Linked DNA regions of Drosophila melanogaster. The protein of the gene in region 1 interacts with the protein of each later gene in a pairwise test. Each region holds a gene or a part of one and is shown in the gene's direction. Other genes may lie near its edges.

What was found.
Region 2: the proteins of CG13501 (region 1) and CG43338 interact in a two-hybrid assay, tested with the Drosophila melanogaster proteins (one large-scale study listed by BioGRID).

Annotation. Positions count from the first base shown.
Region 1 is NT_033778.4:22,058,253-22,062,691, reverse strand, and holds CG13501 (uncharacterized protein), read left to right. Parts: upstream 1-1,981; 5' UTR 1,982-2,031; coding exon 2,032-2,128; intron 2,129-2,186; coding exon 2,187-2,433; intron 2,434-2,497; coding exon 2,498-2,580; intron 2,581-2,630; coding exon 2,631-2,780; intron 2,781-2,832; coding exon 2,833-3,497; 3' UTR 3,498-3,788; downstream 3,789-4,439. Other genes in the region: Snp (snipper), read right to left, coding at 1,111-1,133.
Region 2 is NT_033779.5:18,666,073-18,672,980, reverse strand, and holds CG43338 (uncharacterized protein), read left to right. Parts: upstream 1-1,734; 5' UTR 1,735-1,793; coding exon 1,794-1,949; intron 1,950-2,937; exon of another isoform or gene 2,938-3,014; coding exon of another isoform or gene 3,015-3,089; intron 3,090-3,417; coding exon 3,418-3,543; intron 3,544-3,615; coding exon 3,616-4,440; intron 4,441-4,501; coding exon 4,502-5,374; intron 5,375-5,432; exon of another isoform or gene 5,433-5,434; coding exon 5,435-6,016; 3' UTR 6,017-6,089; downstream 6,090-6,908. Other genes in the region: CG43339 (uncharacterized protein), read left to right, coding at 1-421, 481-641, 695-1,089, 1,191-1,199.

The DNA of each region.
Region 1 (4,439 bases):
AGCGGGCCATCAATCAACTGATCGCAAACTTAACGCCTGTGCGCCGCTTGATTAATTTAATCATGTGTGATTTGCGACTGTTTGGTTTTTTTTTTGCGAACGTAAACAGCAAATAAATAAATATCGGAGTCTATAGTGAAGGGGATAGTGGATATAATGGCGTTGGAAATTCGATAGCCAGATAGCTAGTTTGTTTAGTTGTTGTACATGCTGGAAAAGTCAACAAACGAAATCGAGAAGGTAAACAAATACATTGTTAGTTGTTAGACAATAACAGAATTAATTGCACAGACCTCACGTAAGTTTTCCTATTATTAGCAGTTCATTTGAAATTCAGATTATCATAATCCTACGTTCGCTGTGTTCTTAAGTTTATGAATTGATCTTGTTCAAATTAGATTCGATTGTTCGTTGTGTGTTCTAAAAAGTAGTTTAATCTGGTTGCGAAACTGGTATTATGAAGATTTCGAAAATATTTCATGCGAAATTAATTTGGATCTAAGCACAAGGATGTTTATTTTTGTAAATGTAAATGTACTGGTATTAAGTATATCATATTATCATACAATTGAAATACATAAATATAATTGTATGTATATCTACGATTCTGCAATATGCTTAATTATTGTTATCATCGTTTTTCCGAGTCCCTGATTACACTTAGCGATATTTGAAGTGCGTTTCAGGGGCGCCAAAGTGCATTGACCAACTTCAATATCAACAACTCGTTGCTGGGAAATAAATATTTGCCCGAAAGTTATTACACGGCCTCAAGCGCTTTGCTGTTGACCAAGAGGCAACAATAAAAAAAAAAGGCCAGGGCCGGATTTTTCAGGCTGCGGACTTTGTTCTTTTGTCGGAAAATGGAAATGAAAAATGGGGTCAGTTCAGGTCAGCACGACAGGATGACGGGGCCACAGAAAATCAATTTACGTGGGCAAGTGCTGGAAAAACCCCCTTTCGGTGGAAACTCCGCCCCTGGCCAACTTAATTGCGGTTTGTTAAGTGGAAAAGCAAAGAAAGAGAAGGTGGACTACAACTTTCAACGGGAAAATTCCTATACACATACTTTATAGGTAATATTAGCGAGAAAACAGAATAAAAACTCACCTTGCTAGTTTTATCAAGGCCATTTCTGTTTTTCGATTTGACTGACGTTTCTCTGATTTTTCTTCTTTTTTTTTTTGGCAGGAGCTACTATTTATGCTATTCGAAATTCGTCGGCTTATTTATTTATCTCCCTATTCCCCTTATTTTTTGCGATTTTGGCAGTGCAAGTAACGGTAAACTAGGAAGAAGTTGAGCGAGCCGAATTCCTTTTGTTGTCTGCTCACTCACACGCACATGCCGACACACAAACAAACGCGCGCGCACACAATCGAATTTATTTCAGCCGGCACAACAAAAACACTGCGCTTTTTCGATACTTACGTTCTGCTTTCTGCTTGTTATTTAGCTATTTATTTAACTCGTTTTTTTTTTACATATTCCCGCACGCACACTGGGTTTTTTCTCTTTGTTTTTTTGTACAGCCTTTCAGTCAAGTGCATTTGGCGATTGATGAAATTGCAACTGCAAATGCACTATCCGCCAAGCCGAGTATTTGACCGGTCAATAGAGATGCACTCCTGGTATTTGCATATTTTGCGTGCCTGTCGGTATATTCTCGTATAGCTGCGCTTGCAGTCCGCATCTAATATTCGGTAGTAACTCGCTCGGCGTCCGTTCACAAATGCAGCGGCATTGAATCGGCGAAATATATCAACCAAATTGCGATATATCGATTTCAGGCGACGAACAGCTGTTGCATCCGAGCTTCGAACCTTTTCATAATATTCAACACGCAGTTGAGCTTCCAACCAATTGGGTTACGTTCTCAGCCGCAATGGCGCTTTACAGTACAGAAACATAGTTTTCCTAACAGAAATGTTAAGTTGAAACGTAGAATAGAAGTTGATTTTTGAAAAAAGTTCTGGCATTTGACACGTATTGTATTTTCTCATTATAATAACAACAAACCATTAAACCAAAATGTGGGAGCAGCTAGCGAGATATCGCAATCACTTTCTGCAACACGAAATCAAGGATGTGATGAAGCCGACCTCCATAAACAGCTTGCAGACTACGGGTAATTTAGTTGCGATATATAATCAGCGAAGGATAATCATAAAAAAAATGGATTACAGAGTGGACGCATCATATGGAGAAACGGAATATTTGCAAGTGTATGCCGCTCTGCTGCAATTCGACCTCGACGCACCTGGCGGATCGTGCTGAACTGGCCTACGGCTGGTTTGCACTGCCCAAATTGCTCAAAGAACTGGATAGTGATGTTAGGCTGACCCATTGGAAGGCAGTCGTATCGTTGTCGGAATTCGTTCTAAATCCACTGAATGCCCAAAGAGCTATCATTGAAATGGACCTTGTTAGAAAGTGGGTTGTCTGCATTGAGGAGTTTTTTTTTTTTGATATCATCCAGTTTCTATCCTACCAATAGGTTGAAGAATGCCTTTATGCGTATGAGATTGAAGCATCACAAGGAGGAGCACCGGGAGGTGGAGATGTATCTAAGGATTTATAGTAAGTTGAAGGTTGTGTGAATTCTTAGAATAAGCTTTTATTTCTTAAAGATATACTATCCCGCAATTTGGATGGAGCCGAAAATATAGCCAACCGCAAGTGCTTAAGGGTGGAGTTTTATAAAATCATTAAGAACCAAGAGCCTATTAAGGATGAATTGGCTTCAGAGATATTGCGAAATTTGACATGCAAGCCAAAAGGTGAGCTCTGCATGCACTTCATTGGATTTAACGGTGTTATATTTTTTCCTAGTTCTGGGTATATTCCTGGAGGATCCTGAAAACTTTTCCGCCTTAGCCGAGATCTTCAGACAGGATCCATGCCGTCCGCAATTCCCGTTGCATTTGTGGCATCACCTGTGTGACATGCTGGAAGTGGCACCCGATCGGGGCATCGAGCTGGGCCTCTTCGAGCTGCTGCACTCGAGGATCCTAAACCGCTTGTCCAACTTCTGGGACATGAACACCAAGGCATTTGCGCTGCTACTCTGCTGTGCTGAGGGTCAGCGGCGTTTCGATGCCGTGGATGGTGTAAAGCTGCTTTACGACGTCTTTGCCCAGCCCGATGAGAATCCGCGAATGTTGCTGCCTCGCCAGAAGGTGGAGAACTGGGAATATACGGCTTTGGCCCTGCTCAATGGGCTCCATAGCAAGCGGGCATTGTGGCGCAGCAGGGAGTTCACCCAACTGCCGTGTTATGTGGGTCGTCTCATGACTTCGACGACGGATAATCCCCGCCTGCAAATTTATTGCCTTAAAGTGTTTCGGGAGTTGGGTGTAATGCCGTGCATTAAGCGCTACATCATTGGCAACTGGCTGCAGGACATCTGCAAGTTGTTCTGCCTGGATGCTGATGCGGAATGCGCCCGTGATGCTTTGGTCGATTGGTTGCGTCGGGATATTGCCGATAGTAGTTAAATCTCACGGTTGTAGTTATATTCATTTGAACCGTATTGTTTGTTACATGGAAAACATCGCTTTTCCCCACTTTCAACCGCTCAGATAAATCCAAACCGTTTCAAAAGCACCCCTGCTGATGTCCCAAAGAGAAAACGGTTAAAAGAGGGGCAGAAATGGCAAAGAGAGGGAGAGAGAGAGCTTTGCTGTTTAGCAAAACATTGTAAATTGTAGTAAATATTTAGCAACTCTCGAGCATTTCGTTTGATGTTTATTTATAAATCTCTTAAAAATAAATTCATCCTGTACTTGACCCTGTCAACTATTATTTACGTCATTATATCAATTGAATATAATCTATGACTGCATTGAATATTCATAGAACGTGTGAGCGAAAGTGTGGATTGTCACGAAGGCAGGAAACTTTTCCAATTTCCGATGCCTGGACATTGCCGACAATAATGAGCAGTGGCACTCTGCAAGGCGAAAAGGATGTAAGTATGCAAGGATGCCAGGATGCGGTGCTGGCAGGACAAGCACCGCAAAAATAACAACAAGAGTGCAAAAGTAACGACCACTGACCAGAGAAGCCACAGCGACCGCAGTTTGCGGTTCCTTTCAAGCCTCCACTGCGCTGTTTTTCCACATCTACATATTTTAATATCTATCTTCTATATATATGTATTATATATGTATATAGAGAGCATTTTTTCCGTATTATTTTTCTGCGGTGACAAACTTGGCAACGAGTCGCAGTTCCTTTTTAATTTATTTGAATTGGCAATGGGTAGGAGTCCGTCCGGCTGCCCGGGCCACATTTCGCATTCAATCGGCAAGTTTTACGCCTTGTCATCGGCGGAATTCTTCTTGGTAGCAATTTTCCAAAGTCCCTGGTGCCCGACTCTTTTGTGAACTTTTTAATTACCGCTCCGAGTTTGCCTTGCTTTCTTTTCGGACTTCCCT
Region 2 (6,908 bases), on another chromosome or scaffold:
TGCGGCAGATGGCCAGGATGCGGAAGAGGGAGAGCGGAAGGAAGACCGTTCAGGAGGCCATAGAAAGCATTAAATTGCGTTCGTCCATGATGACCGAGTTGAATATCAAATGCCAGAAGGCGGCCATCGAGTTCCTATCCGTTCGCCTGCTGAAGCAACTGCGTCTGTTTTCCAGTCCTTGGCCCGGAAAGATCGACGAGATTCCCTACAATCTGTTCAAGTGGTCGCTGGATCACTTCCTGGCACGACTGGAACATAACCAGTTGTACCTGGACGTGATCCATCGCGAACGGAGTTCCGAGGATCTCGACTGCGTAAAGTTCCGAACTGATCTGAAAGAGATCGAACAAATTCTACACGAAATGCGAGAGGACTTTCAAAAGGATGACGACCTTTGCGAAAATAGCATACAACTAATACGGTATTGGCCCCATTTCCATCAAGAAGAACATTCTATATTGGAAACACTTATATTCTTAGAGATTGCAAGTACAACACGGTTGGTGCTTGGATTAAGGACCTCAAGGACAATTGCCGGATCAAGGAGGGAATGAGCAACAGTAGCCTGGCAGTGGAATCCAGCGTATCCAGTCTGGATATCAATCGAACTGCACTCGTAGACCTCTTCGAGGGCAGTAGTTGTGAGTTGTAAAATATTACAAAAATTTAATGTATCTTTTGTACATTTTCATAGTGACTGATCCGATACAGATGCGTTACCATATCAAGTGGGTAAACAGCTGTATGGATCAGAGACTAATGCTTAACTGTAAGCGCGAGGATCTGCTGAGGAAGGAGTTAATGGAACTGAAAACCAAGCTGGAACAGGACATGACGGTGCAGCGCAGCTCGGAGATGATATACTCCTGGGAAGTGGAAAAGCTTAAGACACGCAATAGGGAGTGGGAGGTCAAGCTGGAGCGGGATCTGGAAAGCGCCGAGGTGCAGTGCACGATCGCCAGGCTCGCACTGCAGAAGGTCAAGGACGATCACAAGCTCTGCTTGGAACAGGAGGAAATGTACCTTCGAAAAATAGCCGAGATCAAAAAGTTGATGGAAACGCAAACTAAAGCTCGTCAACAAAAACAGGTGGGCTATATAGATATTTCCCTTTACAAGCCTTTACAAATTAGTTAATCTTAAAGATGATATGTAATTGAAAATTAATATAAATTGTTTAATTTCGCTAGGCAAAATAAGCAACGGAAGTGAAATCACCATGTATAAGCGCCAGGAATCCAAAATGAAGCAGGCGAAATGCTGGAGCTCATCAAAATTCGACAACTATTATTTATGTTGGCAACCCAAACAAAATAATCAAAATCCCGAAATGCATGAACTTAACCCCAAAGGGTTGTTGCCTTCAAAGTCACTGTCAAAGGATCAGGCCATTAAGGGGGTTATTCCATCGGACGGGGAGTGGGCGCCAAGTTAGGGCAAACATTTACCATATTCATTATTTTTGGCGGAGACAAATGAAATTACAGGCAAACGGCTGCGGGGTAACTGCCCCTCCTACCACTCTACGGCTATTGCAGTTTAGAAAATCGAATTATGTGCACTTTAGTCACCGTAGTTACCCACCAGGAACCACACCCTCACCATCTAGTGTAGTATCGCCTCATGCATAGTTATTTTATGCGCCGTGGCAACCTGAAAGTTGCCGCATAACTTTGCCTCTTCTTGTTGCCTGGTCGGGTCGGGTGTATTATTTACGCTTAGAAAACATAGAGTAGAATTTTTCCAACGCCAGTCGGAGGCGGATCGAGTTCATCCGGATAAAATCCATTGGAATGCCACTTAATCCGCGACCCACGACCAATGGCAACACACCCGAGGACTGGCAGGTGTTCGAGGTCTTGTTCGGTGCTGATCAGGACCCGAAAACGATTCCCGCACGGATGACCACAATGTCACCTTTGCCACAACCAGCCATTCCATTTTGCCAGGTGAGTAGTTTTTGTCGCTTAACTATTTTGCCAAAATCGTGCGCCAAATTGCCATAAAAGCGTGTAGACATCATATCAAGATAGATTTATGTGAATTCGCAATTGAATAACGACTTTTGTTCGCTATTTTTTATGTTTCAAATGTATGCGGTTGTTAGGGGAACTAATGATGTTTGTGGGGGGATTTGCATAAAACTCGATTGGTCTGGGGGATACAGTGGTTCGTATTGCCATGTGGGTGGGGCTGCATAATCAAAATATACATATGAATGATTGTAAAGCTATTCATAAACACACAATAGGATAAAATGGAGCCATTGCATCTAATTTACTGAATTGAGGACTTGTGAAAGCCTAAGGAGCAAGCCCAAAATCAAGTTCAATGAAATATCTTTTAAATGTTTGAAACATTTCCCATTTCGCCCATTTCAATTTCATTAAAGAGGCAACCTGAATTGGCTTCATAATTAACCCGGCCAAGCTTATCGAATGTTCAACACATTTCAGTTCCCAATTGTCTTGCCGTTGCTCCTTCCTAAATTGCAGACAATTGGCCAAAAGTTGCACACCTCATTTTCCGTTTCCGGCCAAGTTGAAAATTTCCATCGTATATCCATCCACCTAGCCCCGGAGCACCCAAAACCCCAAACCCTGTGGCGTCCGCACTTGCGTGCGTGAGTCCGTTGTGGATATTGCATTTGATACTTCGCCACTTGGCGCCATGTGAATGACCCAAATAATCCAAACAAACTGCAAAGTTTCCCCCATGTGTAAGTGTAATCGTGGCTACACCTTTCGAGCTCCACACGGCTGCCCCCCTATCCAAAGCCCCTTGCTCCTGCCATTGAGCTCGTTTTCACTTGGAGCATAAATTTGAGCACTGTGTGATGTTATGTTGGGGTAAATTCCTCGGTGCCATGCATCGGACTCCCCTCAGTTGTTAGGTGGAGGTTGTTAGGCTTCCGAAAGTGGTTATTCCCGAACCAAAGTTCAGTTCTTCGACGGCTTTTACTGGGAACAGTTGACTTGGTTCTTGGAGTGCTTTAAATATTCGTGGCTCTAAATATGCCCAGTGAAAATCATCTGCATCACCATCACTTGGGACACACTGGTGGATTATCTCCGCATCATCATCACTTGGTGGGCATTGGGACAATGTTAATGCCATCACAGTTAAAAATTACATATTATAATTAAAAGTACAATTAAAATTTACAAAAAATAATGAAAGTCTGAATGGTTCAAAACCATTTTATCTTAAATTGTATAAATATAACTTTAATAACAGGAAAATGTGAAAATGGTACATTTATTTAATAGAGCCAATATATTCAAGAATGTAGAAAGTATACATTTTTTGAAAATGTTTTCTAAACTAGGAAATTAGATAAATTTATATGTAATTAATTAATAACTCCGCAAATCAAAACCTTTTGTGTGTTCTCCAAATTTAAATGCGATTATCCAGCTGGACACATCCTGCAGCAATACGGGAATCACTGTGACAGAACATCATCATGGTCTCGACTTGACCACCACACTGCGCAGTGAACTGGCTGCGTTGTCCTACAAAAAGGAGCGACTTACGGGGGAGGTAAATAAAAGAATCAATTTATTATAGAATCAAGTAATGCAAAGGATATACATATACTTACACTTATCCTAGCTTGCTGAAGCGCGTGCAGCATTGTGCAGCAAAGATGCGGATATCGAGAATCTGCGAGCCCAGGCTGCTCGGCAGACTGCCCTCATCGGATCCCTCCAGAGTCGTCTGCAAAACTCGGAGAGCAGGGAGCAGGCTGTCCAGGCCCGATGTGATTCCACCATTCAGACGGTGCAGCGGGAGAAGCGTAGCTCCGACGAGCGCAACAAAGAGCTAATCTGCAAGATACAGCATCTGGAAACGCATATGGCCAGTGAGGAATCGCAAAAGGAGCAGATCAAGGCTCAGCTGCACGATCTCCTGCGACGCCTTAGCATCACTTTGGGAATGGATGTGTGCGATGGCAATCAGAATTCCCATGCCACACCCGAGTGCATCATCTCGCGGGCCGAGGAGGTGATGGTGGAGCTGCAAAGGACGAAAGCCAAGGTCAGTTCCACCTGCGACACGCTCAGCTCCTGCGAAAATGAACTGCTCAACTTGAAGTCGCTGGCCAACATTGAGAAGCAGCGGCTCACGGCCCAACTTGATGGAGCTGGCAATCACAACCACGAGTTGGAAGGACGCTGTCGCCAATACGAAAGGGATCTTCAGATCCAAAGAGATCGCTTGACTGAATCGGAAATCAACGGCGAGAAGCTCAAGGAAGAGCTGCGCGGCTTTGAGTCGCGATGCCATCGTTTGCAAAACAACCTGGACCGGACTCAGGGCGATCGTCTGCAGTTCTTGCGGGGATTGAGCAATCTCTTGAATGTTCCCGAACCGTGCGAAACGCTCATCAAGGACAAGCTGAGAGAGATTCTGGCGGAGAACCAGGCCATGCATGCGGTAATCGAACTTATTAATTCATAATTCATTTAAACAATAAACCAATTTGTATACCCTCTAGCAAATGCACTCTCTGCGAGATCAGCTGAACTCGGAGCATGAGAAGCTTAAGGAAACCCAACAGACCACCGAATGTCGCCTCCGTTCTGGCGAGGCTCAGAAATGTGAGCTAACTGAGCGCTTGGAGAAGTGCCATGCCGAGATCCATACTCTTCGAAAGGATCACATGGGTCTATCGGAGTTCCTGCAGCGACTGGCCCTCGCGATGAACTGGGGTGAGTGCTCTGCCCCTCCGGCTCTTGGAACTGATACCAATCTAATGGCGGAGAACTTGCTTGAGAGAGCCGAGAGACTCGCCGCTCACTGCGACCACGAGGCACCTCATCATCATCATCATCATCACAGTCCGGATAAGGGTTGCTGTGATCACGGACATGGTCATGGGAAACTTCGCCGCGAGAGATCCTGTCATGACATTCCCCTCAAGGAAAGCAGCAGTGTCTACAACCTGCAGCGACGTGTTCGAGTTCTCAGGGAGCAAGTGCAGCGACGGGATCTCCACCTGGAGCTACTGCGTCGCAAGCTGGCCATCATAGAGGACGGTGCGCGAGGAAAGTGCATGTTGCAGGGTGAACGGGATGAGGCGGTTTGCCGGGCCAAGAAGGCGGCCAAGCAGGTGGACAAGTTGAGTGCCCAGCTGGCCGATGCCCGATCTCAGATAGCAGAGGTCAAGGCCCAGCTAGCCGAGGCTGTGGAGTATAAGATCACCTCGTTGGAGAGGGCCAGAAAGATCGATGAGCTGACCACACAGATATGCGATCTGGAGGATGAGAAGACGCGCCTGCTCTCCCAACTTAATGCCCTGAAGGAGCGCCTCAAGTCCTCCTGTGAATCCAATCAGAATCGCAGATGCCGCGATGAGGCGCTAATAAATGTAAATAAAAGTATAGTTTATGTAAAAATTCACATACTAAATCTTTCTTGAAATTTTTAGTCTATGCGCGATGATGTCAGTCGCTTGAGCTCCCAACTCTCGGATGCCAATCAGCGGCTTTCGCATTTGCAATCCTTCCGCACATCGGTGGCCAGGACACTGCATCTTCGCGACCTGCCGGAAACGGATCTTCTGCATCGCCTGCAGGCCCTGTGCTCGGCACATCAGGAGTTCACAATGCTTTCGAAACGCTATGAGACAGCTTCGCCAGTTGGAGATCATCCGTGTCCTCGGTTCGATGATCCCATACCGCCATCCAGCCACTGTCGCCCGCCAAGGGAGCTCAGTCCTCCGCCAACTTCCTTCCACCATAAGGCGACCATCCATTCAGGCAGCAGCCATCACTCACCACCGTCTGAGCATCATCATGGTTCCAGCAGCCATGTGCACAATCACCACGGACATGGACACGGACACGGTCACTCATCGCATTCCAGGCGGCAGCGAAGTAAAAGCCGGGACAAACGACTCCACGATGAGTGCTTCGACACGGATGTGCATCGACTGCACCATGGCTGCAAGGAGGAGCTACTGGCCACCGGATCGGAGGATGACTATGACTTCAAGAGCAAATACTGCTAGAGTACTAAACTTTTTCTTTGCATTTGTATTTTTTCAAAATAACTCAGAATAATATATGGTTTCTACATTTCGGAAAATCTAAGTTTTTTGTGGCAGATTGATTATTCTGGTTGATCATCACGTATTTCGGGAGGATAAGGATAAGAAGGAAAGGACTGGTCTTCATCGCAGTCCCTACTGGTGGCACAAGTCCAACAGCATTCCGGAAATTTTAGCAACAAGTCCATGGCCTTATCGTCCTGGCAGCCACTGCTCGGCAAAGTGCGAGGACAGCTGGAAAATAGCTTGGATATCATATGCATTAGGGTATATCATTTCAAATTGGATCGATCTTACTAGTAGACATGAGTAAGTCCTTCGGAGTTCATGCAAACCTGCACGCCGCAAGTGTTTGGATCACTGACTTCCTCGCCGGGTTGTAGGGCAAAAACATCGTATTGCTTCTTTTTACCCACTCGAACATGGATGGGGTAACACTGGCCGGGGTACTCTACCAAAGCGTTTTAATGAGACTTTATTATTCTTACATATAAAGTTTTCTCAACGCATTACTCTCATTGTGCAGTATCTTCACAAAAACCATGGACTTCACAGATGCCACTAAAATTACAGCTACAATACAGAAAAATATGAACTTCATTCTAACGCAATATAAGGCAAACTGGTGGAAGTTCCATTAAAGTATCTGAGAAAAAACTCGTATTTGAAATTGATACTTATTGTAAATAATAGTGCCTCATTACATTCTTCTGCGAACCTTCAACTGCCTTTGTGTTTTTTCTAGCTATGTAAAAAAAAAGTGTCAGCACTATCTACATGTATAGTTTGAAGTTTCCGAAATTAGCCGATTAGAGCGCTGCTTGCGAGTAGTTCTCAGATTAGCCGCCAGGCG